Oreochromis niloticus: one gene and its partners. The protein of the gene in region 1 binds, or shares a complex with, the protein of each later gene. Links are inferred from orthologs where the notes say so. Each region holds a gene or a part of one and is shown in the gene's direction. Other genes may lie near its edges. The genes, in order: upf3b, eif4a3, rbm8a and upf2.

Evidence for each region.
Region 2: upf3b (region 1) and eif4a3 share a complex: the UniProt entries of both Homo sapiens proteins name them as parts of the mRNA splicing-dependent exon junction complex. The link is inferred for Oreochromis niloticus from reciprocal best matches to the Homo sapiens genes UPF3B and EIF4A3.
Region 3: upf3b (region 1) and rbm8a share a complex: the UniProt entries of both Homo sapiens proteins name them as parts of the mRNA splicing-dependent exon junction complex. The link is inferred for Oreochromis niloticus from reciprocal best matches to the Homo sapiens genes UPF3B and RBM8A.
Region 4: the proteins of upf3b (region 1) and upf2 are in contact, whole or in part, in a crystal structure (PDB 7NWU), measured with the Homo sapiens proteins. The link is inferred for Oreochromis niloticus from reciprocal best matches to the Homo sapiens genes UPF3B and UPF2. Residues at the interface, in NP_542199.1 of Homo sapiens: Lys52, Arg56, Arg57, Tyr79, Glu81, Phe83, Asn85, Asp86, Thr87, Ser88, Leu89, Tyr90, His92, Tyr94, Arg96, Tyr98, Ile130, Glu132, Pro135, Phe136, Lys138, Ala139, Ala140, Arg147, Asp148, Lys150, Val151, Gly152, Thr153, Ile154; in NP_056357.1 of Homo sapiens: Lys767, Arg768, Pro769, Pro770, Leu771, Glu773, Tyr774, Lys777, Lys790, Arg793, Gln794, Arg796, Lys797, Leu798, Pro799, Trp800, Gln801, Cys811, Ile814, Asn815, Trp817, Tyr837, Gln838, Glu839, Asp840, Ile843, His844, Val846, Asp847, Gly848.

Annotation. Positions count from the first base shown.
Region 1 is NC_031966.2:18,505,891-18,513,680, reverse strand, and holds the start of upf3b (regulator of nonsense transcripts 3B), read left to right. Parts: upstream 1-4,520; 5' UTR 4,521-4,837; coding exon 4,838-4,948; intron 4,949-5,156; coding exon 5,157-5,263; intron 5,264-5,349; coding exon 5,350-5,456; intron 5,457-5,550; coding exon 5,551-5,649; intron 5,650-5,841; coding exon 5,842-5,952; intron 5,953-6,034; coding exon 6,035-6,078; intron 6,079-6,153; coding exon 6,154-6,342; intron 6,343-6,424; coding exon 6,425-6,582; intron 6,583-7,790. Other genes in the region: nkap (NF-kappa-B-activating protein), read left to right, coding at 303-477; ndufa1 (NADH dehydrogenase [ubiquinone] 1 alpha subcomplex subunit 1), read right to left, coding at 2,340-2,360, 3,486-3,575, 3,658-3,759. UniProt on the Homo sapiens protein: Involved in nonsense-mediated decay (NMD) of mRNAs containing premature stop codons by associating with the nuclear exon junction complex (EJC) and serving as link between the EJC core and NMD machinery.
Region 2 is NC_031971.2:41,936,607-41,944,711, forward strand, and holds the start of eif4a3 (eukaryotic initiation factor 4A-III), read left to right. Parts: upstream 1-5,000; 5' UTR 5,001-5,134; coding exon 5,135-5,288; intron 5,289-8,105. UniProt on the Homo sapiens protein: ATP-dependent RNA helicase. Involved in pre-mRNA splicing as component of the spliceosome. Core component of the splicing-dependent multiprotein exon junction complex (EJC) deposited at splice junctions on mRNAs.
Region 3 is NC_031976.2:34,767,140-34,774,433, forward strand, and holds the start of rbm8a (RNA-binding protein 8A), read left to right. Parts: upstream 1-4,283; 5' UTR 4,284-4,348; coding exon 4,349-4,415; intron 4,416-4,923; coding exon 4,924-4,983; intron 4,984-5,076; coding exon 5,077-5,154; intron 5,155-5,958; coding exon 5,959-6,095; intron 6,096-7,294.
Region 4 is NC_031981.2:19,589,624-19,597,403, reverse strand, and holds the start of upf2 (regulator of nonsense transcripts 2), read left to right. Parts: upstream 1-4,675; 5' UTR 4,676-4,783; intron 4,784-6,794; 5' UTR 6,795-6,795; coding exon 6,796-7,163; intron 7,164-7,780. Other genes in the region: slc35e3 (solute carrier family 35 member E3), read left to right, coding at 104-188, 281-382. UniProt on the Homo sapiens protein: Involved in nonsense-mediated decay (NMD) of mRNAs containing premature stop codons by associating with the nuclear exon junction complex (EJC).

The DNA of each region.
Region 1 (7,790 bases):
TTTAACAACAACATATAAAATGTGTTCTCCCAGCAGAGGCTCTATATGGTGAGTTAAAACATGGGTTAAGTAAAGGAATCAGTGAAAATGTGGCATTTCCAGTTGATTTTAAACCAAACCTCAAAACATATATGTGCAGCAAAAGTTACCAAATGCTTCAAAATGTTGTTTAATTTCTTTACTAATCTCTGCACATTGTAACATTTGCTTTAGCTTGTGCTCTAGGCTGGATTGAGTTGAGCAGATCCAGGAGCGTGTTCAGCTTTTCTTCCCGTAATATTGACAAATTTTTCGCCCCGCAGACATCGTCGTATGGAGGCTGTGCGTCTGAGAAAGGAAAACCAGATCTACAGCGCAGACGAAAAGAGAGCCCTGGCATCGTTCAACCAGGAGGAGAGGAGAAAGAGAGAGAGCAAGATCCTGTCGAGCTTCAGGGAGATGGTGTACAGGAAAACCAAAGGCAAGGAGGAGAAGTGAACGACCAGTTTCTGTCTCCTGTTATTGGAACCTTTACTTGTTGTTTAGTGACATGAGGCGTAAAGCTTTTTTTTTTCTCTCTCAGTTTGAATCGAGTGTACAGTGCAGGAGTGTTTTAACTGTAAAAATGTGTCTGAGAAGTATTCAGTTGTATTCTCCTTCCCTTTTTTATCCGTCTCTTGTAAATGTTTTCAAATGCTCCCAACCAGAATGTTAAATAAATTTTCACTATCATATCTTGTTGCCATTTTATTATTTCTTTCTGTTCTTGCCGGGAGTTCTACTATAAGTGATAAATGCATCAAGAGTAGAAAACCATTTAGAAAAAAAGAGCAGTTTGTAGTATTATTGTTTTAAAGTGCAGGACCTCATCTGAGTGAAACACTTAAATAAAGGCTTTTTTTTTAAACTAAATAACTGATCATTTTTTGTGACGAGTTAATTGTAGCATATTTAAGAAAACTTGGCAAAAAATTTACCATCAAACTCTGAATATTAAAAATAAATCTGCCAGTGTTTTTGAGCAAATATCTGAGCAAATAGCTACTTAAGAACAGGAACCACATGAAAATTTCAGTACTGAAAAAAAGTTCAAGCTGTCTTTAAAAGTGCCGCCAAATTAATTTTACCACCATTTCAAGTCCACAGTCTAAAGCAAAAGTCTACTTTGTTCCAAGCATGTTTTGTTTTGTTTTTTTCATTTCAAAATAATATATATTTGTAGTGGTAAAATCTGTGACATCACAGACAAGTCTCTGCCTCAGAAAATACACATAGTATCAATATTGCAGTTTATCACTGGATATGGTACAGGTCAAATAAATGTAAAAACAATGGCCGACTTTTGGAAAGGTGAGGTGGAAATTTTGTTCATATTGATTTTTTTGGGCATGTTTGCCTTTAGTGGAAAGAAAGAAAAGTGAGGAGGGACACTGCACTCTGACCATGTGACATGTGATCACCTGCTCACTCATTGACCTAAAGTGGTGCCCATACTTGACTGGTTTTTAGCCACAGTGACCCCCAAATATCTTTAGCAATTGTTTCAGCTTCTTTATAGTGAATCAGTGGCCACAGTGTGCATTTACTTCAGCTGTTTATAAACCTTTATTTATTTACAAGTTGAAAGTCTTATGACTTTTAAGATGTTTTTCACTGGCGTGAGAAAGAAATTTCTATAAATTGCTAATACAGAACTATTGTTTTTTTTCTTACAGGAGTTTTTTGAATTCTTTACTTTTTACAGCATTTCAATTAGTGCTTTTTTAAATGAACATTTTTGTAAGAAACAAAATATTTTTTTCCTGCATTTGCTGTTTTTTTTATTAGTTAATATCACCTGAGCATCCACCACAGGTTGCCTGTGACGGTGGTTTGAAAGAAACACTGAGAAAACATTGACATCATGTTTCCACAACTTGGATTAAACCTAATCCCAGACTGAAAGAAATTAATGAACTGCACTGAAAAAAAAAAAATGTATGGACTAATCACGTCTTTTAGTTTTTGTCAATAGTTGTTTTTTGAAGCTACTTGGAACAATAGAGTTAGTTACAGTTAACGTGATGCTGCAGGAAGGCGTATTACAGCTAAATGGTAACAGCAGGTACTGTGAGACATCTCAAGTCCAGTAAACCTGTCAACATGTAAGCAGATGTAATAAAATAAAATAGTAACTACACTCCTTCTCTCTTCTGTTACTGGTAGAAATCAATATAAGAAGCCTCACAAGATTCCCAGTGTGTGGAAGAGTTTAATCACCCATCTTAAAAGACTGAAAAACACAAACAGCTGAATGTTAAATATAATCTTTTAATGTACAACAAAGAACTTTCTTCTCTTGGGTCTCTCCGGGTTCCTCGTCAGTGAATGTTCTCAAGTCCCTGGTGAGGAAAAGCGAAATAAATAAGGATTAAAAGTAGTTATACATGAGCAGCCATTGTGTTCAGTTAAGCTAAAAACACATTTTATGGACTTTAGGTCTCCTTTTATGCTCTACACAAGACTAACACCGCCATCGGTGTTACCTGATGACCGAGAACAAGGAAGACCACCGTGTGGTACTTACTATATAAAAGGCTAAAGCATGGCATTGGGTTATTTAGCATAGAGCATGTTGGGATGATCACTTTGCATAATTATATAGTTTAGGTTAAAGTATCATTATAGGACACGTTTCGATAAAAATTATTTTGTAATGAAGTTATAGCCATTTGAAAATGCACCAATCCAGAGAACTATTTAAGCTACGTCATTCAATTTTTTAGGCCAAATATCTGTTGTCTTGACTTCAGGAATATGGAATTTCTAAAGTGTTGTTGAAGTTAAACATCACATTCTGAGAAACCCAATTAGCTTGAAAATTTGATTGCATTACAAATATTTGAAAGTTTTTAGATGAACAGTTTCAAAGATAGAGGGTTCAAATTTGTAACACAGATTCCCATAAAACTACTCCAATCAGATGAATGATCTTAAAGATACTACAGCTTAAGGAAAAGGAAAAAAGAAATCATTTCGATATCCCCCCCCCCCAAAAAAAATGGCATGCTGGTGTGCTGAGACAAGTCCAAGGGAGGCAAAACAATAATGAGTGATATTCAAATGCACTGTGTTTGTACACATAAAAGGATCTGATTGATGGCGTGGAGGTAGTACAGATGCACCCCAGATAGTGCAAATGTGCTACCAAGAATGCCTTTATAATTAAAAGAATATACACAGATGAGTCACATGATATACAGTGTTTTTTTTTTTTTCTGTGAATGTGGACATTGGTGTGCCTCCATGAAATGCCTGACTGAAACAAAACTAGGGTTTTGAAAGTGCACCGTATTTGCACATACTGCTTTTTCTGAAACTGTGCACACTACTGTCGAGCAGTTTAAGCGACTTTTGTATTTATATGTAGTTGTAGTCTCAGAGAAAGGCTGTAAAGTAGTTCCAAGTTGGACACTTTGTTATTCATTAGCATTACTTTTAGTTATTATGGGCAGAAGGAAGCTAACCTTGGAGTCAAAGTGGCGTCCGGTTCCTGACACTCGCTTATCTCTGTCCATGAGATACCACTGCCACGGAACCCGAGCAATCCTTTTCTCCTGCGGGGGAAAAACACACTCTTTATAATCCAGCAGTCTGGTACACAACACGAGAACCTACTGGCAGCGCCTGCGTCCTCACCTTTCCTCCGTTAGTGAACTTGTGGATCTGCGCGGTGGCGACACCGGGAATGATCAGACACACGGCCATGACGCCGAGTCCGGGCAGAATTTCATACCACATGATTACAGCGTTTAACTGTCAGGGGACAAAGAGCAACTTCGAGGACAACAAAGTTGCCCCAAAACCTACCTAACGCTGTTTATTTATCCCAGAAAGTAGCAAAATGTCGACCGTCAGGACGACCTACGTTCCTCTTCCAGGACAAGAGAAGAACTTCCTGTTGAAGATTTTCAAAATAAAACACTTCAATTCAACAATTCATTTTGATCGTAATTTTAAATCGATGATTAAATTATGCTTTTACAGTCAAAAGACGAAACCGATCGGACATGGATATGTGGGGAGGAAAAAAAAGTGTTAAAAATTCTATCATAATTCAAATTATATGTTAATTTTTTTAAATGGACACTTGTCACTGGAAAAAAAAACTTAAAAAACGTTTGTTTAGCTATCTATAGGTCAACGTTTCCCCTTTTCGTTATTATCTCAAAAATTTGAGTTTAGGGTTAGTCTCCTCCCCACCAAAAAATCGACTTACCAGCAAAGCGATCTCTGAAGAAGCATTTTGAATTATGGAAGGCAATTATTTTCAGTTAAGCAATCTTTATATATACATATATATATATATATATATATATATATATACATATATATATATATATATATATATATATATATATATATATATATATCCTGTTTATTTAATTTTCTTTCGTTCGTTTGTTTTGTTTTGTTTTTTGTCTGGAAATCGCCAAACATGACTTAAGTGTTTACACGACGAGTAAGCTTTTAATTTGAAGTGTAGCTGAAAGGCGGAAGCTCTTTTTGGCTCACGCTAGCACCATTTCTTTCTAATAGCAAATAAGAAACCATTCAGAATAATTCCTTTCATGGACAAACTAATTAAGACTATAAATAAAACAAAATAAAATATATTCTAGTTATTAAATTAATTGCCTAGGCACGATTGAGTTCATGTACAGCGCCCCACTCCGGCGCTGATACTAAACGCAGCGCTAACCGTCAGTGAGGAAGTTCCAGTTAGTTCGTTCACTAGCAGAGGCTAACTCGCTGAAAGGTAAACAAGTCAGCTGAATGAGATGAGACCCAAGTCCAGGATTAAGTAAAGTTTTCTGCAATGAAGGAAGACAAAGAAAACACTCGACCGAAGGAGAAAAGGGTGGAGATAAAGTATGAAGATGGAGAGAAGACGGAGAAGTCCAAGGAAAAGAAGGAGGCCATGACAAAGGTAAAACTTGCTAGCTGCGTTAGCTCATGTTGCTATGAACCGCCAGGTTTATAAAATTGCACTATTTTTCATGTTGTAGTGTTTCATCATGTTTCACGTGTATAATGATAGAATGCACGTGAACTTAAGAAATCTGTTTATCAGCCCCAACTTTGTTCTCCAGATAATAACTTCACCTATGATTTTTTTTTTTTTTTTTATTAAATAGATTGTGATCAGACGACTACCACCAAGTCTCACCAAAGAGGAGCTGGAGGAGCAACTGCAACCGCTCCCAGAGGTGGACTATTTGGAGTTCTTCTCTAACGACACGAGGTGAGTTTATCTGTAAAGATTCCCTCACTGTTAACAAAAGATAAATATACTCGTATATGTATGACACAGGTGTTTTCCTCTTTTAGCCTTTACCCTCACCTCTTTGCAAGGGCTTACATCAACTTCAAAAACCAAGAGGATATAGTGCTCTTCAGAGATCGCTTTGATGGATATGTATTCATTGACAACAGAGGTATAAAACAGGGAAGAAGTTACTAAACAGATTTAAAGATTTCTGTAGGAAGGACCCGAAGTTTCATCTTTTTCCACATGATGTTTACGAACAGGTCAGGAGTATCCTGCCATTGTGGAATTTGCACCTTTTCAAAAAACTGCCAAGAAAAGAAGTAAAAAAAAGGATGCAAAGTGTGGAACAATTGTCGAAGGTAAATATATTTACCCTTTGATAAATACAATTCATATATTGTAACGCAGTATGTCAGAAAATAAGGAAAAGCATTATAGGTCTGCTTTAAGTGCAATTTAGGAACACTTATAAAGACATATAAAGATACAGAAAAAGCAGTCTTGCTATAATCATTAATGTGTTTATTTGTGTTTCATTTGATTCTTTTAAGATCCAGATTACAAAAAGTTCCTTGAATATTACAACGGGGACGACGAGAAGCTAACGTCCACACCTGAGACCCTGTTGGAGGAGATTGAAGCTAAATCAAAGGAACTCGTTGGTATGTTTAGCAGTCAAATACTGGTAGTTTTCAAACAAACGCACTGCACAATGAATAATTTTTATCATTTCCTTTGTTCAAGCAAAAAAAACAACTCCTCTGCTGGACTTCCTGAAGAATAAACAGGTAAATAAGTTCAGGTCGAGATGTGTATACATTGCTGGAGGCTGGCCTCACACATTTTGTTTTAATGTTCTACAGAGACTCAGGGAGGAGAAGAAAGAAGAGCGAAGAAGGAGGGAACTCGAGCGCAAACGTCTGCGTGATGAGGAGCGTCGTAAGTGGAGGGAGGAGGAGAGGAGGAAACGCAAAGAGGCAGAGAAGATGAAGAAGCTCGAGAAACCGCAGGAGAAGGACAAGGACCAAGCTAAAGACGAGCCAAAGATAAAGGTGTGTGCAGTAGTTGAAAGAAGCAGTTCGAAACTGTGTCCAACTCTCAGTACTTAATGTGTGTTTATTTTTACTGTTGTAGCTCCTGAAGAAGCCAGAGAGAAGAGATGAAGGTGAACCGGAGAAGCCAAAAGAGAAGTCCAAGAAACCAGAGAAGCCAAATAGAGAGGACAGATCTTTGGGAGGTTCTGATCATAAGAGACGTCAGAACATCGAGCACAAGGAGGATCGAGGAAGGAAGTTAGTTCTTCACTCTTCTTTTAATTGTCCAAATACATTCACCCTCAAGTGAACAAGCTATTTTAGGTTGATCCCATTATAATTAATACCAGAATACTTTATTTTTAATGGGTCTGTTTATGCTTATCATAACCATACCATTTCCTTTATCTATCATAGATACTGTTTTAATCATTTTGAGGTTTAGCATCACATTTCCTACACTACTAGTAGATTAATGGGTTAGTCAAGATCCATGGTGTCTCTTGAGCCTTCTACTGTACATACTGCTTACACGCGATTGCTCCTCAAAATATCCAGGCATTCATGTGATGAAATTTATAGATGGCACAATCGTCATTGGTCTGATCTCCAGCAATGTACGGTAGACAGGTGGAAGAATTTGTTGGCAGGTGTGATGCAAACAATGTGTGCATCAGTGTGGGGAATACGAAAGGGATTGTGGTGGACTTTAGGAGGAGAGATCACAGGTTTCATTCCTGGAGAAACTTGAGCTTGTGGCTCTGGTTCTGCGTATGTCCAGTAACCTTACATGAACCACAAATGTGGTCAGTATTATCAGAACGCTCACAAAGAGCTGTTTCGTTTGTTTTGTTTTGTTTTTCTTTATGAAGAAGCTGAAGCAGACTGGCCTTGGTGCAGCTGTGCTGACTTCTTTATTGTGTGCTGGAGAGCATCTTGACATACTGTATAATTGTTTGGTATGGCAACTGCTCTGGGGGCAATAAAAACACACTGTAAAGATTTGATAAATCTGCCTGAAAAGTGACTTGTAGCAGCTCTCCTTCTTTAGAGGACATTTATATTAACCGTTTACCGCCCTCCCCTCAGGCAGAGGACTGCATAGCTTCACAGCCTGTACGATAATCCTAAAGTGCAGCTGCTTCTGTAAAGCTATGATTCTCATGAACTCGGTGCCATAATTTGTCCTCTGCACTTTATCAGCTTGTGTTTTTATTATGCGATTTTTAGATTAAAATAATTACTGTCTGTTCTATTTATTAATATTTTAATGCTGGCCTGAGAAACACATTTAATTCTTGCACATTTAAAAAAAAAACACACACACATTACATTTACATTTTTACAAAGGTGCCTTTTTTTTTTTTTTTTTTTTTTTTTTTTTTTTTTGGTCGTCGTTCTTCTTCTGAGTCATCTTAACACCACTGAGGAAAGGCATTCAGTTAAAGTTACAGCAACACAAAATG
Region 2 (8,105 bases), on another chromosome or scaffold:
TTTTTCTTCTTTTATACCCTTTCTTGCCAGCCACGCTGTGGAGTACTTGGACGCGTGTGATGGAGCATTGTCCTGCATGAAAATCATGTTTTTCTTGAAGGATGCAGACTTCTTCCTGTACCACTGCTTGGAGAAGGTGTCTTCCAGAAACTGGCAGTAGGACTGGGAGTTGAGCTTGACTCCATCCTCAACCCGAAAAGGCCCCACAAGCTCATCTTTGATGATACCAGCCCAAACCAGTACTCCACCTCAAACCAGTACTCCACCTCCACCTTGCTGGCGTCTGAGTCGGACTGGAGCTCTCTGCCCTTTACCAATCCAGCCACGGGCCCATCCATCTGGCCCATCAAGACTCACTCTCATTTCATCAGTCCATAAAACCTTAGAAAAATCAGTCTTGAGATATTTCTTGGCCCAGTCTTGACGTTTCAGCTTGTGTGTCTTGTTCAGTGGTGGTGGTCTTTCAGCCTTTCTTACCTTGGCCATGTCTCTGAGTATTGCACACCTTGTGCTTTTGGGCACTCCAGTGATGTTGCAGCTCTGAAATATGGCCAAACTGGTGGCAAGTGGCATCTTGGCAGCTGCACGCTTGACTTTTCTCAGTTCATGGGCAGTTATTTTGCGCCTTGGTTTTTCCACACGCTTCTTGCGACCCTGTTGACTATTTTGAATGAAACGCTTGATTGTTCGATGATCACGCTTCAGAAGCTTTGCAATTTTAAGACTGCTGCATCCCTCTGCAAGATATCTCACTATTTTTGACTTTTCTGAGCCTGTCAAGTCCTTCTTTTGACCCATTTTGCCAAAGGAAAGGAGGTTGCCTAATAATTATGCACACCTGATATAGGGTGTTGATGTCATTAGACCACACCCCTTCTCATTACAGAGATGCACATCACCTAATATGCTTAATTGGTAGTAGGCTTTCGAGCCTATACAGCTTGGAGTAAGACAACATGCATGAAGAGGATGATGTGGACAAAATACTCATTTGCCTAATAATTCTGCACTCCCTGTAAACACCAAGCTCCTTTTTTTGTGTAGCTGACAGCTGGTAACTGTGCAGGGGCGGATCTAGCAAAGCTTTTGCCAGGGGGCCAGGTAGGGCATTAACAGAGAAAGGTGGACATAAAGATATACTTTTCTTTCTTACTCTCATATAAAATATTTAGCTTTTATTAAATACTTATCTGAATCTTACAACCAAAGTTTGTATAATAATACACAAGATTGGCTGTAGACCATTGTTCATCATTCAGAACACTGTGTAAAAATAACAAAAAACAAAAAGTGAATGCGAAAGTGCATAAATATTTATTTTATGTGTTTGATGTGTGTGTCGGGGCGTGGTCTGCAGTGCCGCTGCAGGGGAGGTGGACCCACGGGTGTAAAGTCTGTGCTCTCTTGGCTGTTCTTTGGGTGTGTGTTGGGCTATGAGTTGAAAAGCTACAGCTGCCTGTGTGGGTACACCAACCATGTGTGAAAAGTGGTCCATAACGTAATGCTTCAAAGCATGTTCATGCAAACATTGTCGGGTCTGCCGTGGTACAATGAGACTTCTGCTCATGAACCTGTGTGCACAGCGTCTGCAAATCGGCGCTGTATGAAGTAACTTCATCTTTACACAAAACTGTAAGCTGTCATCTGTGAAGCGTGAGCGGTGTTTGTTTTTACCATAGTTCATGGTGGAGAATGGCTGCTCTTCTGAGTTTTGCTCTCTGTAGCCGTATGAATGGCAAACTACAGTGATTAGCAGCGGCATAGGCACACATAAAATTTCTTCTGAAATTTTCGCTTTCTAGTTTATATTATATTCTCTGTATAGCACTTTAGAGCACACTTTTCACTTTATTAAAAGCACCTTATCAAGCACTTTATTTAGTATTGCACTTTAGGCATGGATTTGCACAGTAAAACATTTGCACACAAGAAGTTTAAATATTTATTGATTATTTATTGGGCATTTTAAAATCAGTTGGTAGCCTTGTTTCAGATCCTGCACAGCTGCTCCTCATCAAGGAATGTGGTGGTTGTCTGTCAGGAGAGAAGAATGGTGATTGAGATTATGATTAAGGTTTACCAGTAAGGAAAACTAATGCAAATGTGTGTGTGAAATCTAGGAAGGAAAGTGGCGCAAATAAGTGTTTGTAAGACAATGATTACTCACCTTTCTTGTCTGTGTCCTCTTCAGGGTGTTTGGGCAAATGTTTCCCCGGGGGTCCAGACACCATTTAATGGTTCCGGGAGAGACCATTGGTAAAGAGAGTATGGTGAATCTTTTTGTGCTTGGGTTTCTGGGTTTTTATAGTATTGGGTTTGGTGTAAAATTAAAGTGTGAAATATTTATTAATATGAAAATGTGAACTGTATTTATGTATTTATTTATTCTAATTCATATATTGTATACTGTGGTGGAAGGTTGGGATTTAAGAATTTACCTAAGAGTGGAATAATGGTTTGGTCTGTGACAGCTGAACATATTTAAGGCTGCTGGTCCTCATTAGAGGAGGATATATTGTGCTGTGAAGAAGCTCGAAGTGAATTGTTGTAAGGAGAGCTGTATGGCAAATAAATACTTTGTTCCACTGCACTTGCCTTAGTCCATCTCACTGTGTTTCCAGCCGCTAAGGGCTGCCCTATTACAGTCAGCCAAATTAAAAATTGTAAGTTACCATAAATTGTTTTTTAATTTAGAACTTTGTAGACCTTTGTTAATGTCAATGGAAAAACATTTAGTGTTGCTCACTCAGAAAAGTCCAGTTCTTAGTACTCAGTGAACACTCTGTCCTAACTTAGTCACCTTAAGTACGTTTTTGGTTTTTCGAGGCAACAATGAGATAATTCGGTGTGGAGGATGGAATCCAGCCGAGACTGCTGTGAACCCCCCCACCAAACCACACACACCCCCCACTGTGACGGTACCTTTTCCCTCCTACTTGAGTAAAGAAGTTGAATCAGTACTTTAACTTTTACTGTAGTATTTTCAGCACTAGTCCATGTACTTCTACTGCAGTAGAAGAAGTACAGAACATCTGTACTTTTGCCTCCTGTGATGCAGGCAGGTGGGAAACGTCGGCCAATTTAGCAGTTGTAGTTCTTTTAATAAAGCTGCTTCAGTGTGACCTCACAAACAAATAAACTTTATTTAAACATCCAGATTATCTCGTGTCTTTCCTGATATCGCTCCATATTGTGACAGATGCCAAACTGCTGAAGCCTCACTGATCCACATGTAGTGGTCTTGTCCCAGTCTCCTTCAGTTCTGGACAGAGGTTTTTCATACCCTGTCCAGGATTCTCAGAGTGACGCTGGCCCCCGACCCTCATCTTGCTCTGTTTGGCATCAGTGGGAATGAGGTGCCTCTAAAAGACAGGAGCTATCATTCACCCCCTCCCACTCACACACACAGTGGTTGTATGACCTCATGTCGTGTCATGCGGGGTCGTTTCCTTGATGCATTTCCAAATCTATAAGAATTTTTCAGGTGCATGAGTGTGTGCACCTCCCTCATGTCAGGTGTGGAAATACAGTGTACAGTGACCTGGGTGGGAATGAATGGGATTATTTTGCAGGGACTTTGTTATCTGGGGAAGCACTTTGTTTTTACACATTTATATGTGTGTGTGTATTTTTTTTCTTTATTTTTCTTTTTCCTTTTCTCCCTAAATTTTACGGCCTTAAGTGTACGGACTAATGAGCCCAAATGTACAAACCATCCTTCTCTTCTCCTTTTGTTTATATGTATAAAGAAAAAACTCTTAATAAAAAACATTGTTTAAAAGAAATTCATTTAAACAACAGAGTAACAAAGTTTCTAAAGGGGTGAAAATCATCGGAGTATTTGGTGATTTTATACAACAGCAGCGTCAGTCCTCAGCTCCTTCCTGTCACCTGGCCGCACAGGTGACCGCTTTCATATTAGATTACCAGATTAACTGTCAGTTTACACTTTTGTGGTTTGTTTATGTTTGATTACATCATCACCTGCAGGCTGCCCAGTGTAGCGGCTGACGTGATGACATCACACCTGTCAGTGTGTCTCAGGGTCCAGTTTAAATCCTTCAAAAACAGAAGAGCGATACAGAAACATTTACATTTGCTCAGGTTTTATGAAACATATCGTTAGTTTCATCTCTGACAGCATCTTATCAGAATTTGTACGTTTTTACCAAAACGTGTTATTTGGTTTTACTGACTTTAGTGAGAAAGACTCTCATGCTTTTCCCTCATTAATCAAATTCCACATCCATAAATGTAAGCTCTCCACTCTCAGGACAGAAACAGAACAGTTTGTTCCTCTCACAACAAGAAAGCTTTAAAAACATGAATATTTGTAATATTTTAATGTCTTAAGTTAATTATTCAGCGTCTCTGTATCTCTCACTTTCCCCGTTTAATCTGTATTTCTATCCTGTGTGTTTAATTATACATACTCTTCCACTGTGTTAGAATTTTGCACTACAGTTGTACAACATGCTCTCCGTGTGTTGTGCTTGTTGTTAAAGTCTCTGTTGAAATAAAGTTAGAGAAAAAAAGGGTCCAGTTTAATGGAATAGAATGCCTTTATTGTCACTATACAGTTGTACAATGATACAGATACAGAGCATCTCCAACTCAGTGAACATGTGTGTATGTATGTGTGTGTGTGTGTGTGTGTGTGGGGGGGGGGCACAGTTCTGCAGCACTATATTCATATGAACAGTATTAACAGAAAAAAAGGAAACAAATGTACAAATATACAATCCGGTGTAAATAAACAGTGTGTTTTGTATATATAGTTCGGGTTATTGTGCATAGGATGTTATTCCTTGTTTTCAAAAGTCTCTCTGTCCCGGGTTGATCGAACACTGAGACACTTTCTTATTCACGTATTGATCAGTTTCTCATCATTCGATCAGGTTTACGTTTTATTCTGTGTCGTATAATCGGCCTCCGAGTACGCTGATAAAGAACCCGGAAGTTTGTTATTTTTTCCTGGTGTGACGTCAAATCCTCGTCGCCCGCTGCGGACGTCATCGGCGTAGCGACACGTGCTTCTTTCTCTCGTTAGCAGTTAGCTTAGCAGCGCGGCGAAGCGCGGACTGGTGAATCCGGACATCTGCGACTTTCAGACGGATTAAAAGCTCCGAGGAACATGGCTGCCACCGGGGCTCAGGGTAGGAAGAGGATCCTGAAGGAGGAAGATATGACCAAGGTGGAGTTCGAGACCAGCGAGGAGGTGGACGTCACCCCTACCTTCGACACCATGGGTCTCCGGGAGGACCTTCTCCGCGGGATCTACGCCTACGGTAAACCGGGGTTCGGCGCGGCCTCCGGGGGAAAGCTAGCTCAGCTAGTCATCTGTAAAGCTAACGTCGGCGCAGTGTGTTGAGTAGGCGAATTAAAGAGATTTCACTGTGCTCAGTTCGACCCCGGGGGCATCGTATCCGGAGGGGTGCCGTTAGACTGACTATCCGGCTTTTAGTTCTTTCCAGAAGCTCTCCGATTAGCATCAGCCCGACCTGCTAACGTGTCTGCGCACTTTCAGTGGCGGAGAAGCAGATGTTCTGATAGACCTGACTTTAGATCGGGTTAGACCGGACTCTGTGACTGCTGACCCGGTGTGTGACCCGACTTGGTCCAGTGGCTCAGTGTAATGTAGTAACTGACTGTAACTGTATTTAATTTAGTTTATGTGCTGCTGGTTTCCTCGTTGTTGTCTTTTATAGCAGATCGCTTGGATCCCCGGCTGTGTAGGTACTAAAAACAAACCCTGGTACCAGGTATCACCGCCTAACGTAGCCTTTTTCTATTAGTGCCTTCTAAGGTTTCCATTAGATGGTAGTACCAGGTACTTTTTTCAGTACCTACACGGGAAGTTGTGTCGGAAACAAAAACTTTATTGAACATGTGTACAAACAAAGAAGCATTCATCTGTTGATCATGTTCAATTAAATTTTTTATTTTTATTTTTTATTTTTGTAGTCCAGAGTCAATTAAAATATTTAAGTAATAGAAATGATTTATGGGCTAATTCGAACAACCTTCAGAGACTTATCAAACAGCTCGAGATCAGCTCTGATTTCTCTGAGAGCTGTCAATAAAATTTTTTCCATTAAATTGTTAATAAAAATTCCAGTTTAGCACTGACTGAGTTGATTCCCCGGCCGGCAGGCATCACAAATCTCTGCCCATCACAGAAAACATCCACTTTAAATCTCAGTGTAATAAAATCATTAGTTGGGTAAAACTCATATAAAATGTTAAAACTGAGCTCTTTTTTTTTTAGGAAGGACTGGATATGAAATATATATTTTTCTGATATTTTGGTGATTTGATCCAGCTAAGTCTTTAAGGATGTATCTTTTAAACTCATTAGAAAAACTTTCAGTAAAATAATTATAATACCTTTTAGATTTTTCTGTCACTTAATTCAGTATTTTCAAAGTGCTGGTGGTGTGGTAGAGCCGGGATCTTCTCTAACTGTAGATGTTAGAGGGACTGCCATTGCTGTTATCAGCTGATTATAAACTCAGTGAAACAACAGCATCACCAGGATCTTTCATGAAGCGGTGTTTTTACTGGTGTGAAATTGTGTTTATTGTGTTTATGAACCCAGTAGAGAAGAACCTGTCTCTTTCTCTTATATTTAATATAACCACACTACGGATGGACAAGCGCCTGTTTTTATACGTCGTCATTAGCAACAGCGACGGTAAAACTATCGCGTGTCCACTTGTGTATTTTCCACATAAACCTTTCACAATAAAGCTCAAGATCCTGTTGAGACTTTTCAAAATAAACTGAATCACGTGAAAGAGGATGCGGCGTGTTTGTGGATGAGAAGCAAAAAAGAGCCATCAGTTGCTAAAAAATAAACCTTAGACTCAAGCATTAGAACAGACTTTTCCCCGCAGCACGCCGTGTAATAAATACTCACAAAGAAAACGGCGGCCGTTACAACTTATGTCTAAAAATATATAGTTTCATGCATCGGTTAAAACACTCGACTCCAGGTACACGACGCCCAGCTGGAAACACTTCACGCAAGTCGAGCTGCCCGAGATTCACAGAATTTACAGAAAATGTTAAATTTTTGTGATTTATATCGTTATCGGAACGATAATGTCTTATATCGGAATATGAGATTTTGGTCATATCGCACAGCCCTAGACTGGTTTTCTTCCTACTTATCAGACAGGACCTTTTCTGTTAGGACTGACAGGTTCACCTCTGACATTGCTGCCCTGACCTGTGGGGTCCCACAGGGTTCAGTTTTAGGTCCATTACTATTTTCTTTTTATATGCTTCCTTTAGCTGGTATCATTCAATCTTTTAGCGACCTGTCTTATCATTTTTATGCTGATGACATCCAGCTCCATATGTCCTTTAAGCCTCATCAGCTGGATAGGCTGTCCACCCTAGTCCAGTGCTTAACCCAGGTTTCTGAGTGGCTTTCAAGCAACTACCTCGTTCTAAACACTAACAAGACCGAGACCATGATCATAGCTCCTCCTGAGCTACATTCTAAAATCAGTCAGGTTCTTGCCTCCTTCTGTCCATCTGTCAAGTCAAATATTCGGAATCTTGGAGTAATATTTGACTCTTCTCTGGGCCTCGACTCTCATGTAAAATCTTTGTCTCGTTCCTGTTTCTATCATTTAAGAAACATATCTAAACTGCGACATATGGTCTCTTCAGCTGAACTGGAAAAACTCATTCATGCATTTGTGTCATCATGCTTAGATTACTGTAATTCCCTGTTTACTAGCTTGGATAAATCATCATCACCTCCAGGCGATACAAAACGCAGCAGCCAGACTATTAACTCGTTCTACCAAACGTGTTCACATCACTCCCATCTTATATTCTCTACATTGGCTCCCAATAGAGTTTAGAATTTGCTTTAAAATTCTTGTTTTAACATATAGCGCACTAAATGGCCAGGCCCCAGATTATTTATCCAAGCTTCTTATAAAATACACTGCTGCTCGTCATCTCCGCTCACAGACTCAGAGTCTCTTAGTTGTTCCCCGTACACGACTGAAGACAAAAGGGGACAGAGCCTTTCAGTCTGTTGCACCAAGGCTGTGGAACAGTTTACCACTACAGTTACGTTTGCTTGA
Region 3 (7,294 bases), on another chromosome or scaffold:
CAGCTAGGGAAAGCAAATTCAATTAGATGTCCTCACTAAGATATGAAAACGAGAATTTGTGTGTGTGTGTGTGTGTGTGTGTGTGTGTGTGTGTGTGTGTGTGTAAAACAATAAAAACAAAAACAAGCAAAAACAAACCTTCCAAACATGCTGTCACTGTGGCTGCGTCCTTCTTTGATATACAGTCTGTGGTTTTGGGTAGAAACTGTCATGTGACTTGTGGGTCTATTTTAGTAGAAAGTCAACATTCTTACATGAAACTGCTTAGCATTTTTCTATATTTAAGTAACATATTTTTGAAAAGCGACTATACGCTGGGCTTTTCAGATATATGTTTGTGGCACTCTAACCAACACATGGTGAGTGTCATTTCACTCTGTTATACTCACGAGAAGGCACACATCTCTGCAGACCAGTCAAAAACCAGGTAAGTCACATCAAAACAATCAAGATGGGGACATGTATCACCACCTACAAAAGAGAAAAAAACCCACAGTTCCTTTAATCTTGCTGAATAAATCTTTGGACTGTTAAAATTATTTGTGAAGTGTTATCTTTTTCTTTAAACCCATTGTGCTCCCTTTTTCACCCTTTATTGTTACAGCAGCAGGCAAGGTTGGACATTGTGTGTCTGTAGTGTCACTATGGCAACCTGCATATCTGTCTGTCTTTGTACCTCCTGATATTGCACTGCACCCCTTTGAGCATAATAAAGTGATTACAAAGAAACGTTCATATCTGTAGCATGTAAAAACTGTCTTTGTGATGTTTGCTTGTGTTAAGTCTGATGTGTTGTAGTGCCCAAAATGCTTTGGGTGTTATTTTTTTCTTTCAAAACACATTTGCACTGTGAGAAACTGGAACAAAGTCAGCTGAAGTCAAAATAAGTGGTGATCTGGACAACTGGAACTGGACAAATGCAGCTTATTGCACAGAGGATTTGCCTTTAATGTTAATACAGAGGTAGTTTGCACAAGATTTGATGTTTGATTTTAAGCTGGACTTTTTTGCAAGAATGTCTGTTTCTCACACTCAATTTAATGTCATTACATGTACATTAAAACTTATAGATCACAGTGAAATTATACTTTTTTTTCAGCAATTTTCACAGTTTGCAAAGCCGTCCAACAGGCCAGACCAGACCCTTCGGTAAGCCTGCGCAGCACATGTTGACACCCCTGTTCTACACAATATTCACATTAGTGTACTTAAATGAATCCACCATCTGGCAGATCTTACAAATACTTTGATTCCCCTCTAAGAACTACACTGGACTAGCTATAAAAACTCGAATGCCCTAAATCATATTCAATTCAATTCAATTCCATTTTATTTATATAGCGCCAAATCACAACAAAAGTCACCTCAAGGTGCTTCATAGGTACAGACAAAAACTCAACAATCATATGACCCCCTATGAGCAAGCACTTTGGTGACAGTGGGAAGGAAAAACTCCATTTTAACAGGAAGAAACCTCCGGCAGAACCAGGCTCAGGGAGGGGAGGCCATCTGCTGCGACCGGTTGGTATCCAAAAGGAGTCGCTCCCTGCTGGCCCTTAGACACAGTGCAGGTTAAAGGCACTTCCACACTTACTTTTATATACAATATATGCTTACTATGGGGCTTGGAAGGGTGGCTGTAGCTCCGGAAGTAGGGCAGGTCAGTCTGCATGTCAACTATCCTTGGCCAAGATACAAGAAAGCGTAGAATAAAAGGGCTTGAATGAATGAGGCATGTTGTATAAAGTGCTTGGAGTGCTGTGCAAGAATAGAAACGCACTATATAAGGGTCAGTACATTTACTAAAGATGTTTATCAGAACTACTTTCATCTTTCTACTATTTTGCTTTTACCCTTTAACCAGATTACACATTGCTTGAAGTCATTTCTCTACCGACACTTGATTTCAGTTCACAGTAAGAATAGCTCTCAGTATACCAGAATGACACCAGAATACAAGCATGAACAGCTTTTATATGACTTTCAAACACATGGGTCAAAAGCGTGAGTGGATTCATGACTGCCCTCTGTTGGTCTTGTAATGTATTTTTTACAAAAACCAAAACTCAAACAAAGATATTCTAGTTGTTTAAAGTAAAATTCAACAAACTCAACACATAAATCCTCAAAAAAAACAACAACCAAAAAACGGCCTAAAATATGGATGAAGATAAAAAAAAAATGCTGCTCTTTTCACCTTCGCCTTATCTTATGTTGTAATTTATGACAGGGAACAGCAATTCCCTGTAAACTAGGTAAGATTACATATGATACAGAAGTCATATTAGAGCCAGTTCACACTAGTAAGTGTAATATAAGCAGACACTATTATGAGTGAAAATACACACATTCATCTCCTGTTTCCAGGTCATACAGTGAAATTAGAATAGCAATTGAAAATGAGTCTGTGTATACTTATGTCAAAGCATAAGAGTAACTCAGACATAATGGGATGTGTTATCGGAAATCACAGCATCTCTGTAATAGAGATTGAATGAGCATGAATTTTTGAAGATGTGAGTCATAAACCTCAGGCACACTGTCTCGCTGTGGATTTTAAGCACGATTAGATGACAGTGTAATAAACACAGGAAATGTCTTGATGCATTCTCAATCATCCAGGAAAGTAAATCTCCAAAAGTTGAATCTGTTCATCTGGACGTAGCGTTTTGTGGGAGAAACGTTTCGTCACTCATCCAAGTGACTTCTTCAGTGTCAGCTGACTGCAGGTTTCCCCAAACCTTATAAACAGTACATTTGCATAATGACTGAAACCAGCCCACTGAAGGAACAATGGGCTGTGAGGACCTCACAGCCCACTGAAGGAAGGACCTCACAGCCCACTGAAGGAACAATGGGCTGACAGCCCATTGTTCCTTCAGCTGACACTGAAGAAGTCACTTGGATGAGTGACGAAACGTTTCTCCCACAAAACGCTACGTCCAGATGAACAGATTCAACTTTTGGAGAAACACAGGAAATGTTTAAATTCAGGATGAGAGAACAAATAAACGACACTGTTTTCCCTGAAATGTGACATGTTTAATAAGTCTTCAGATTACAGTTGACGGCAAGTGAGTGAATGTTTCTAATCATCTCACCAGAATATAAATGAAGACAATTTAACACTGAATACAAAGTTTTCTACAAAACCCTAATGTACTCTGCAACAAATCATTGGAAATGGCAAGAAAACCCCATGATATATGTAAAGAGTGTCTATGTCATGTCCCATTGTTTGCCTTGCTAAAATCAAAGTATTTGAAAATATTTTTTAAAAACATTGTGTTTGTTTTGCATGTACAGACTATATGTAATTATTATCTACAGTTCTCAAAGAAATTAAGTAAAAAAAAAATGAAATACTGATGATCACGATCTAAATCAAATGGACAAAAATGGCTTTGTAAAGTTATTTCAAAATGTGCACCTTAAAAGTATTTAATATTATATACCACGTGTGCTGAAATATTAGCTGCAGTGTTATATGTTTATTTTAACTAAATCATACACTCCACTTGCAATGGAAGTGAGTGGAGTTGGGTGGGGTCCTCGTAGATGAATCAGGTTTCTTCTACTATCACTGCAATTTTTGCACATTGCCTCACAGCACATTGCTGCAGTTGTATTTGAGTCTTTGGGGCTCTGGTGGTCCCAAGAAGTAAGAAGCCTGGAGAACTTTTCCTGAAGACTATTTACACAAATGACAAGAAAGGTGCCCAAGAGAGTTCAACTGAATAAAGGTGGTTACACCAAACACTGCCTTTCAAGCTTGTTAGAATTGTATAAACTTGTTTTTGTGTGTGTACTGTATTTCCATGTATGTTTGCGTCATTGGTTTGCACATGTTTCAATAAACCATTGCACCAGTTTTTTTATTTTCCAAACAAAATATAGAGAAATGACAAGTTGCACAGTGCTGTAAGTGCAGGTATCTTAAAGCTACACCATTAAAAACCTAACTGTGCCTGTTTGTGTAAATTGATTTGAGCCATTTTACTTTCTGTGATAAAAATAATAGTGCCTCTGTCAGTGCGCTCCAGGGCGGCTGTGGCTACAATGTAGCTTGCCGTCACCAATGTGTGAATGTGTGTGTGAATGGGTGGATGACTGAATGTAGTGTAAAGCGCCTTGGGGTCCTTAGGGACTAAGTAAAGCGCTATACAAATACAGGCCATTTACCATTTACCTTTAAAAAAATATATATATATATTATTTTCATTTGTATTTGTGTATTTTATTTAATATATTGACTTTTATTTTATACAAACTGGCAACTTCCGCCTACCTCTCAGCGCTTTTTGCGTACGTACGTTACGTTGGTCAGACGCATACACACAGAGACATCATGGCGGACGTGCTGGACCTTCATGAAGCGGGAGGCGAGGACTTTCCTATGGATGAGGATGGTGATGGTAATCATATTATGTTCACTGTTAGTGGAAAATACTTTACTGTCCCCGCGTTCAAATGATGTGTAATTATTGAGGTCCGAATCGCAGCCGCCATGTTCGTAAACGGAACAAAAGCTAGACTGCGTGGTGGCAGGCCCGATCAATGCTAACATGCTAATGCGAGTTAGCGCCGTATAGTTGATTTATTCAGTCGCTCCGTACAAGTTAGCGAGGCTACGGACATAGAGGTCTTTAAAGTTCACCTGTTTCTTTTTGAAGGGGAAATTTACTTGGCCGGTAACTTAACTCTCATTGTGAGGGTTGTTAGCAGCTGCTAACACGCTAATTCGCGGTTAGTGCAGCTAACGGGTAATTGTTTTTGCGGCTCAAACTGGGGGGAGCGGGCATGTTAAACATGTTCCTAGTCAGCTGAATTAAATTGGCGAATTTTGTTCGTTGATAACTTGTAGTCAAGAGAGCATTGCAGCGACGTGCGCTGGCTTTGACTTGTTCATCTTTCATTCATTAGAGAGCATCCACAAGCTGAAAGAGAAAGCCAAGAAGAGGAAAGGAAGAGGCTTCGGTTCAGGTGAGTGACCCCTGGTGTGATGGCGATATTTTACATAGCCTCTCTTACTTTAGCTATGCAGTACAGTAAGTGTTTCTTTGTCGATATTTCCAGAGGAGGGAGCCCGGTCCAGAACCAAAGAGGACTATGATACTGTGGAACAAGATGGGGATGAGCCAGGCCCTCAGAGATGTGAGTAAAGAAACGGTTTAACAAAGGATTATGTCACGAACTTGAAACGGCAGGCTGTGGCTTTGCTGTGATATAGCAGAAAGTACCAGTGGTTTTCTGGGTAATCTTACATCATTTGCTGTTGATGTGATAATCACTACTGGGTAGAACATGTTAGAACTTATTTAAATACATGTTCTTAATTGTCATTGTCTTAATACTTAAGCACAAAAATAATTTGTGTGTTTGTCCTCATTACAATTGTGTGGTGCAATTTCTCATAATTGTCAATTTATAAACCTTTCACTACAGCACCACAGGCTGTGTTACAGAGTAATGCAAAAGTAAAATGATGAAATAACTTGTGATTAGTAAAGTAATGCATTACTTTTCTAAAAGTAACCGGTAAGACAATGCTGCTGCTTTTTTGAGTTACAACTCCAATGCTTGTAATGATAAGTTTGGTCAATAGTATAAAGTCCAAGCTACATGTGTGAATAGAAATCTCAGAGTTAATCAACAGCAAAAGAAGGATTACGCTGGTACCATTAAAATCCATTCAGATTTACAAAAAAGCAGACTTGCTTCCAAAAAAGTGTCACTTCTGTTATTTATTGACTTAATATCAAAGCAAAGCTTTTTATTTTACATTAAATGCTTTATTGCAACGTAGCACCTTTGGCATCACACTGTCAACAACTAGTTTTTATTTATGACTCAAATACAGCGCTTTTTTTTTGTTTGTTTGTTTTTTGTCTTTTTTAAGCTGATACACTTGAAAGTGGTACTTGATTCATTACATGCTGATTCCTTTCCTTGCTGCAGCTGTGGAGGGCTGGATCCTCTTTGTGACGGGTGTACATGAGGAGGCCACAGAGGAGGACATCCATGACAAGTTTTCAGAGTTTGGAGAAATCAAAAACCTCCATCTCAACCTTGATCGCAGAACAGGTTACCTTAAGGTAAAAAAATACAACAACAAAAACCACATACTATTATTGTGTGGGTTTTTTGTGTGCGTGCGTGAGCTGATAACCCTGGCTTAGTACAGGTTCGCTGTCTGGTGATACCTGATTCTAGCCCGCTACTTGGAGTTGAACCTCAGTGTGGTTTGCAGCTATACTTTGAGGAATGGGAGGCGTGGGGTTGTTCCGTAGATCTTTCAGACAGGCTGATTGTACACCCCAAACAACGCTTCTGTTAAACTGTTAAATTGGCTCTTTTTGTTTTGTTTGACTGGCTTTTACATCCAATTGTGTTTGAGTGGGGGAAAAAATGGCTTGTTGAAAACATTGCTTCATTCTGGGGTAAAGGTGGTTTGAGCCCAGACAGATCACTGTTGCCTTCCAGCTGCATACACAACACCTGGCTGCATAACATGTTTGTTTGACCCTTAATGATGACACCACGATGCCATCCATGAAGAATAAACTCAGAAGCCAGAGCCAAGACCATCCACCGAGTCACACTTTAACTGATTTCATACAAAGAGAAGTGCCAGTGTCAAGTTAGTTACCAAAAAAGTAACCAACATTTCTCTGACTTGTTCTAATTATCGCTAAACTAAACCCTAAATCCAAATATTTTTAATACTGCAAATGTCCTTAATTTCTGTAAAGGATTATGTTTTGGTTTAACAATCCCATACTGTTCCTCTGTTCATGTGAAAAATGGAATTATTGGTAACCTGCTTGCTGGTTTTCTGATCAGATTGTTCTCATTTTTAACATGTGATGTGGATCAAACTGGAAATTTTACACACGACGTCAAATTTTTACCAAAAGCACATTTCATTGTCCTTTTAGTGTTTTGTTGTTGTGCGCTGTCTGTTTTTTATGATCCCATAAGTCAGTTTAACAGTGGCTTGTGACACTATTTTATAGTTAGGTCAACTTAACCAAATTCAAATCAGGAATATACAGATATTACACATTTGTTTGTTTTTATTCCACACAAATGGTAAAGTAGAGCAAGTTTGTTTCTGCAGCCAAACTGAAACAACTGCATGAATGCAAAGGAACAGCTATTTGTAGAGTCCTCATCCCACCATTGTCATTGTATTTCAGCTGTGTATAACACTTATTCCATGCGGGAAAAACACTTGTGCAGAGGATGCATCTGATCATCTTTGATTATAGCTCCTTCAGCATGCCTCTTCTCT
Region 4 (7,780 bases), on another chromosome or scaffold:
GAAGAGTTGTGGTCTTTTCAGGATAGTGCTGCCTCAAGGTCCTCCTGGTACAAATATTTCAGATGACATTCATAAATGTTGTTATCCTGATTCTAGTTCACAGCTATAACATGTTTGGTCATTTTAAATTCTGCATCACACTGGTTGGTGGATACCTGCTCTTCCATGACCCACTGTCACTCAACCAGGTGAGTCTTCCTGTGCTGCTCTGATGAGTCAAACCAGGCAGTTTTCAAGTGTTTTCGTCAAACCTTCTGCTCTCTTCCCGTCTCTCACTCAGGCGTTGGGGATCCTCTGTACTCTGGCAGGTATCCTGTCTTACACTCACTTCAAGCTGATGGAGCAGGAAGAAGGGAAGAGCCGGCTGGCCCAAAGACCCTAGGCCATCTTAACATGTTGGTCTGCTGCACAGACTCCTGCTATTGGCTATCCACAGAGAGACCAGCTAGAGATACCTCTTTATATATTTTTACCATTTTTATTACAGTTATTTTTTTAGAAGAGAAGGGATTTCATCGTGGATCGTGTCAGATTTAAACGTATATGGCATGTTAACACTGCTGTTCATACTACTTCCACTGAGCTTCAGCAGCACTGATCCAAAGTCTTAAAGAAACCTGAAGCTCATCACAAAGGCAGCTTCTCAAGTGTTAACTCGCTCTCATCACGCAGCTTTAACATAGATGGATGGAGGTGAGGTTTAAACCAACCAATCAATCAAAAGAAGGCTGCAGTTGGGCTCTGTGAAAGATCCTTCAGGACACCAAACCTTCATCTGTTGCTGGAGGCTGAAAAAAAATATTGCAGTGATATTAGAAAAATTGCATCATCATCTGCTGTTTTTCTGATTTTTGGTACTCAGTGCAGACATGAAGGCAGAAGACACTGATGGGAATCCATCAGCAATCTGGCTGGATTTGTTTAAACAAGTTTACATAATAAATACTTCTGTCAGGTCCCACCTGTTATCCATCAACCACTGGAAGAAACCAGTTTGCTTTGAAGTGAAATTTGAAGGATTTTCTTATTAAATCATTTCAGTGACTTACAGATCATGAACACATAGAAACTCAGACACTGTTGGGGCTACAGCAGTTTTCCAAAGAAGTGAGTGGCAGAAGCTTTTCTGTTATCAGCCTTTCTGTATAAGTGATTTCCATAGACTGATCAAAATGAATTTGATTGCTAGTCAAAAGCCAGTAACTTACATGTGGTATGAAGTGATAAATGAGGTTCAATATTGAATAAAAAGTTACTAAATAACTTCTCCATAAACTGTTCTAAAATTTGTGGAAGACTTTATAATCAGGCAGAAATGGGTTAAAGTGAAATGGTTTATAAAATGATGGTTTCTTCCATTTCTGAGTCTCTGGCTCGTATTACTGAGCAGAAAAGTGACTCGTTGCAGTTCTGCAGGGCTGAGTTTGCTGTGTAAAATTTTTGTGGATTTTCTTTGCAAAAGTTATTTGTTTGGCCCTTCAAATCAGACACTGACCTGAATAATTCATTAATCTGTTGGGGGATTTTGTTGTTGTTTAGAGTCTGCGATAGGTCTAGTTTTATTTCAGATTTAGCCACATTCATTGCTGATGTAACTTTTTTAAATTAGTATTTTTTGATAAAATTTTCTTAGCTTGTGTAGCTGTTATTTAGTGACATATTGCATTATTTGGGTTTTTTTTTTTGCAGTCTGATCCTTTGTCTTGACCGTGTTGATGGTACAGGTGGGATTTTGGGGACGTGGCTCAGCAAAGCATGATGATCTGCTATTGTGGATTACAAATCTGGAGAAATGCTCAGTTACTCAAAGAATTGTTGAAATAAAACTTTAATCTTCTGCATCTACAGTGATTTCTTCTTCATGACACTTTGTGATGTACAGCAGCTTCTGAACATGTAGTCCTCAATCTGACATCCTCGTGGTGAGCACGCTCAGTAGCGCTTTCTTGTTTATATTTCACTGTATTAAGCAAATTCAGCCTGCTGAATAAAAACGAATTAAGTGGCAGTTTGGATTGTTTGAGGGTACACAAGTATCTAGATGTGGTGCTCCTGAAAAAAACAAAAAAACACCATCCGTTAGTCTTTATGATCTTGTTTACTTGCTATCATAAATATGCTATTAAAATGACTTCTTGTAATAAACATGGCCAGTCTGAGCCAAATCTTCTGACATGCAGTTTTATCTACTCTTCACTTTGTATTAAGCAAGAAGGAACATCGCATAAACGGACATCTTGTGCACAGAAGCTCCACGCACCTGCTGTTCAAACCTGTTTATTGGAGGCAGCCAATGAGAAGAGAGTTGGTTTAAAGGGAGAGGATGAACTGAGTTTGAGCTTTACAGCTTTACAGCAGTAGCTTTGCATGACTGTAAAATATGGAACTGGAAGAATGGTTTAAACACCCACTTTAGGAAGGGCAGCATTTTCATCGTTGCTCGCCCAGACATGACATCGTAGAGGAGCACACTGTTGTCATCTGTAATAAGCATGTTATAATATAACCACACCTAAGTGGAGTTCTCCTGTGAACGGCCTCACTGTGGAGCGTCCCTGGGTTTCCCCTTAGATGCGTGTGTGCCTCATTCATACCCTGCCAATAAAGCTGCAATTGTAACACACACACACACACAGCAAGGCTGTGCCAGGAGGGAATTTCAGATGAATGAACAAGTGGAAAGAGTGTGTGTTTAAATAAATCTCTACTCTCTGAGGAATGAGCGAAACCCGAGAGCTGTTATTAAACTGCATACTGCGGGCATCCTACTGCTACCACTGTGGGTATGTGTAGAAGGTATTCATAAGTGTTATTTTTGGGGAGAGAGGACTGAAATGCAGGCTCTGGGAGGCTGAATAAAACAAGGAAAAGTTAGCTTTAAAAGCTGATGAAATACATACTGCTAAAATCAAAAGAGGAATCAGAGACTTGTGAAAAGTACAATGAGAGAAAATGGAAAAGAGGGAAAGGCAGAACTAGAGCCACAGCTGAATAGTTCATTTCTCTTGGGAAAGTTTCTAAGTGAAGTGTCCCTGAAGCGCAGCCACAATAAGAGCTGTCTGAATTCTGTGAATACTTAGGAAAAGTGCTTCAGTGCTTCCTTTACGACCTCGTTTAATATTTTCTAAAAACAAAGGAGATCATGTGGTCCCACAATTCACAGCAAACCACCATTCAAATGTCATGAAAGACAATCAGCAACTGACAGCTGATAGAATCTACAAATATTCAAAAATATGTTTTTAATCTCTAAACTTTAGGCTGCTTCTTCTCCATCTTCTTAATCTACTTCCCACCTCTGCACACATCCAAACAATCTCAGCCTTTGTCTTCTGTCAACCACTCAACCTGAAATGTCCCCACTGGTCACTCCAAATGAAAATCTCAACATCTTCAGCTGTGTTACTAGCCTTTCTGTCTTGTTGTATCTGCAACCATCTTCTAAACCATACATCCATTCTCTTCTGCTTATCTGGTTGAGGGTTGCTACCATAGGACGGGAGTCAGTCTGTCTCAGTGCTAACACAGACAGCCAGTCACATCCACTCCACCCTGTCTTCTTCCCTCCTTCGTGCACTGTCGGTTGCTTTGAATGGTTGACCTCAAGTATTTAAACTCATCCACCTTCGCTGCCTCTACTCATTGCATGTTCACCTTTCCACCTGTCTTCCTCTCATTCACACACATGTACACACACACCTTCATCTTTTGGTAGTCTGTCTACACACCTGCATCAACAACATGCAATGTTACATTATTAAGGAGGCTTTGGTAAGTGCAACTGGATCCTCTGAAGTCCTTATGAATTCCCCTTTGCACATTTCCTTGAATTCATAATTTCTTCCATTAAGATCAAGATAAACTGATTAGGAAAAGGGGGTAGTAGGTCAAAATATATGCAGAGGACTGATTGGTAAAGAAGACACAGATATGAACAGCTAAACCTGGATAGACCGAATATAGCGAAAAGAACAAAGCATGAAGTAAAAAAAAAAAAAAAAAAAAACATTTAAGAGATTTAAGAAAATTAACTTCCAGAACAAAACAGGAAGTAACTGAAAGATGAAAGTAAAGATGAAACTGTAAAGATGAAAGTCCATAATAACACCTCTACTTGCTTCTTGAAAACCTGCGGTACCCATGTTGAGTCATATCAGGGCACTAAACAGCCATTATCAACTGTAACCTCTTCACAGATATAACTAATACCTACTCACAGCCCAGGATGTGTGTTGATTAGTGATTAACTGAAAGAAGACAGTGGAATAATCACCCACAGGTTACCTAAAGCTTCAGTTGATGCACCTGTTAACTAGTGGTGAAAAACTATAAATAGGAAAAACAGTTAAAATTGCAGAGAGAGTATAATTATTTCTCCAGGAGGACTCTTTTGTCCTTCACAGTTTCTGTTATCAATGCATGGCATTAAAAACCTGGCAAAAGAAAATACTTTTGAGGAAAAACGATTAGGGTAAAAATTATATCTATATCTATCTATATATATATAGTCTGACCTGTTAGCAGTCTGGAATGCTGCCTGTTGGGGAGACAACAATTTTAATATATAATATAATAACATTCGCTTCTTTAAAGATTAAATTGTTAAGGCAATCGTTTAGAAAGCTCAGAATAAAAATGCTCTCATGTACCGGAGAAAATGTAAGGTAACTTATATATTTTTTTAATCAGGCATAATTTGGAACTCCAAAACGAGAGGGTCCTGATGCTGTTCACCCGGAAATCAGCACGGATGAACCGATGTTTGTTTTGCTACGGCTAACAGGTAACCCCGCTCATCTTTACATATTATTTAGAAGAAACTGGGCTTCTCTAAACAGGGAGTGCTTGCTGTATGTTTGTGTAAATTTGCGTTTTAATTACTGTCTGTCAGTTTTGCGCTGTCTAAGCGTTTGTTTGCGGCTGTTTTCGCTAAGTCCATTTGAGCTAAACCCGCTAGCTGTGCTAACGCTAGCTCTGTTTTGTTGTAAATTTGTTTGTTCATTTAAAAACGTCGCAGCGTCTGCTGGGCGCTGTGAACGCGGCTTTCTCCTTGTCTTTTAAAGTGAAGCTTCTGCTGAGCTGTTCACACGGAGGAAGCTGACGCAGGTGTAGCGGAGGCTCGGCGGATAACAGGCGGAGTCTGCGTGGGCGGCTGTCACGCTGATTTTAACGTTACAAGTTCAACCCCAAAAGGTTGATTTTGTTGAACGTAGCGTTTACAGTGGAAGAACGTTACACGTTTAACGTTAATCTCTTCTTTTTAAACACGTGCACGAACCAAACAGCGTTTACACGCGCGGACAGGTGTCAGCTTTAAGGAGCTTCTCGCCTGATTTACCTGCTCACCTGCAGGGCCCGTTCAGCCGTGTTTACGTGGAGTTTCTGTCTGAGTGTTTGATTAAACTGAATTATTTTTAATTTTAGGCCCTTATGACATCTCACCACGATGACCCTTCCTCCATTTTGTGTCTGGAGACTTTAGACGTGACTTTTAGTTTATATCAATCCTGACTTTGTTTTAATGTCTCAGGTAAACAGGAAATCGTTGGGCTTACCTGTGCGGTTCGATCACAGCAGTACAATGATAGTCTGTGTCTATGTTTAATTTGAGTTAATTACTTTTGATTTGTTTCAAAAGATCTTCAAAATGAATTACTATAGATGTATCTGTCTGCCCCACAAATTTTTATAAATATTTTGTTATGTCTTTTCATGGGACAACGTTGAAGATATGACACTTTGAACGGATTTATTTTTCCAAGTGGACCATTATGGCTTTGCCATAGTCCACTTGATTATTATTTATTTATTTTATTTTATTTTTAACTTTTAAGTTTTTAGAAACAGAACAGACATGACTTTTCATGTTGTTTCATGAAAAGATATAATAAAATATTTACAAAAATGTGAGGGGTGTACTTGTGAGATACTGTACATTGTTGCCTCACTTAGTTAACTGTTACTGTGTACCTGCAGCCCCGCCCACAGTGAGAGTCCAGAGGGGTGTACTCTGAAGTGAGATGAATGGTTTAGTGAGCTGTCTTAAGATTCAAATCAGAGGTTTCAGTGTCTCTCTTTTTAGCTGGCTAAATCACCATGGTAACTGATGCTGAACACATCACTGTGTTGGGAGCAGGTTGTTATCAGAGTTTCAATTTAAAATGCAAATGCAATATTTTCATGTATTCTCTTATTTACAGTATGTTATGAGAGCTCTATTATCTGCAGATACATGTTATATGTGCAGCTTGTTACCTCACTAACATCAGGAATGAAACTCAGCTGTAAAGTACAGCACTGTATGTCACATTGTCAGTGGAATGTGCGTGTAAAACTATAAATGTTTTTATACTTTAATGTATTTTTCGGTGTAAATGTAACTTGGACCCATATAAGCTGAGTTTGTTTGATCGTTAATGGTTGGTTTGTTGATTTGAGGATTTTGGTGTGTTGTGCTTGGTGTGCAGCTGTGTGTGATAAGTGTCAGGACCTGAAGTTTCCCAGGAGAATGTCAACAAGTATTCAAATGAGTTATTCCCATTTCATTGGATTCATAAGGTTAAACAAGGTCCGACAACAAGTTCCATACCCTCCTGAGGGTTTTTTCTTAAATTGGATGGCCTAATAGAGTCAAAGGAAATCAGAACATTTAATAATAAAGCTGATAATTAATATTTCAATTTTAATAAGAGGCTGATTGAAATATTTTCAAAGAAGCACAGATGGTTGTATGATTATTTAACTTATACAGCAGCATCTGTTGTCATTAAGCTTTTCTTGTTGTCCTTCCTCAGTATGCCTGCTGAACGCAAGCGCTCAGTAAACATGGATGAGAAAGATGTTTGCACCTTCAGCAACAAGGAAAAGGAGAAGGACAGGGAGGCTGACAGGAGGCCAGGATCTGCCCGGGACAAGGCCAAAGACGAGGCCAAAATGACCGGCAAAAAAGACGGTGGCAAGGAGGAGAAGAGGAAGCGGCTAGAGGAGGAAAAGAAAAAGAAGGAGGAGAAGGAGCGGAAGAAGAAAGAGGAGGAAAAACTGAAGGCAGAGGAGGAACAGAAGAAGAAGGAAGAGGAGGAGAAGAGGCAGCAGGAGGAGCAGGAGAGGAAGCTCAAAGAGGAGGAAGCCAAAAGACAACGTGAGGAGGAGGCTGCCCTCCTCAAGTAAGTCATCGTGATTGTTAAATTCTGACTTAATAGCGATTTTAGCAATGTTTAAAATGCCATTTAGATCAATGCTACCGCTTACTTAATCTTAGCCACATTTATTGGAGGAAGGCGTGAACACATCAATGTTAACAAATCTGCCAAGCGCAGGGCTGTGATCTTGCTCCATATCATGTAGAAGAACAACATTATCGTCAAAATCCAGCACAAATTTTGGTCAGTAGTTATGCTGAGGCTCATTAGTATATAAGCATAATAAGAGTGGGGAAGGCATACAAAGACTTGTTTTAAAGTCTGTAGAATAATACACTGCACTAAAGTTCACAATAAAATGAAGATTTGGCGACATAAGAGCTGATAAAATGGCGATTTGACCTACAACTTTATCCCAAGATGAATCTCTGTAGTTTTTACTAATTTAGCATTAATAAATTTGAAGATAAACTTTGATAAAAACATTTTGAATTCAAAGATGATCTTTAATGAGGTTCTAATTTACTAGAAATACAAAACCTCTCCACATCAGTGCTTCATCTGCTTGTGCAGTTTAATCTATTGGGTTTAAAAGCTGTACATTTGCTTGTAATAAATGAACTACACAAAATTTCTAGATT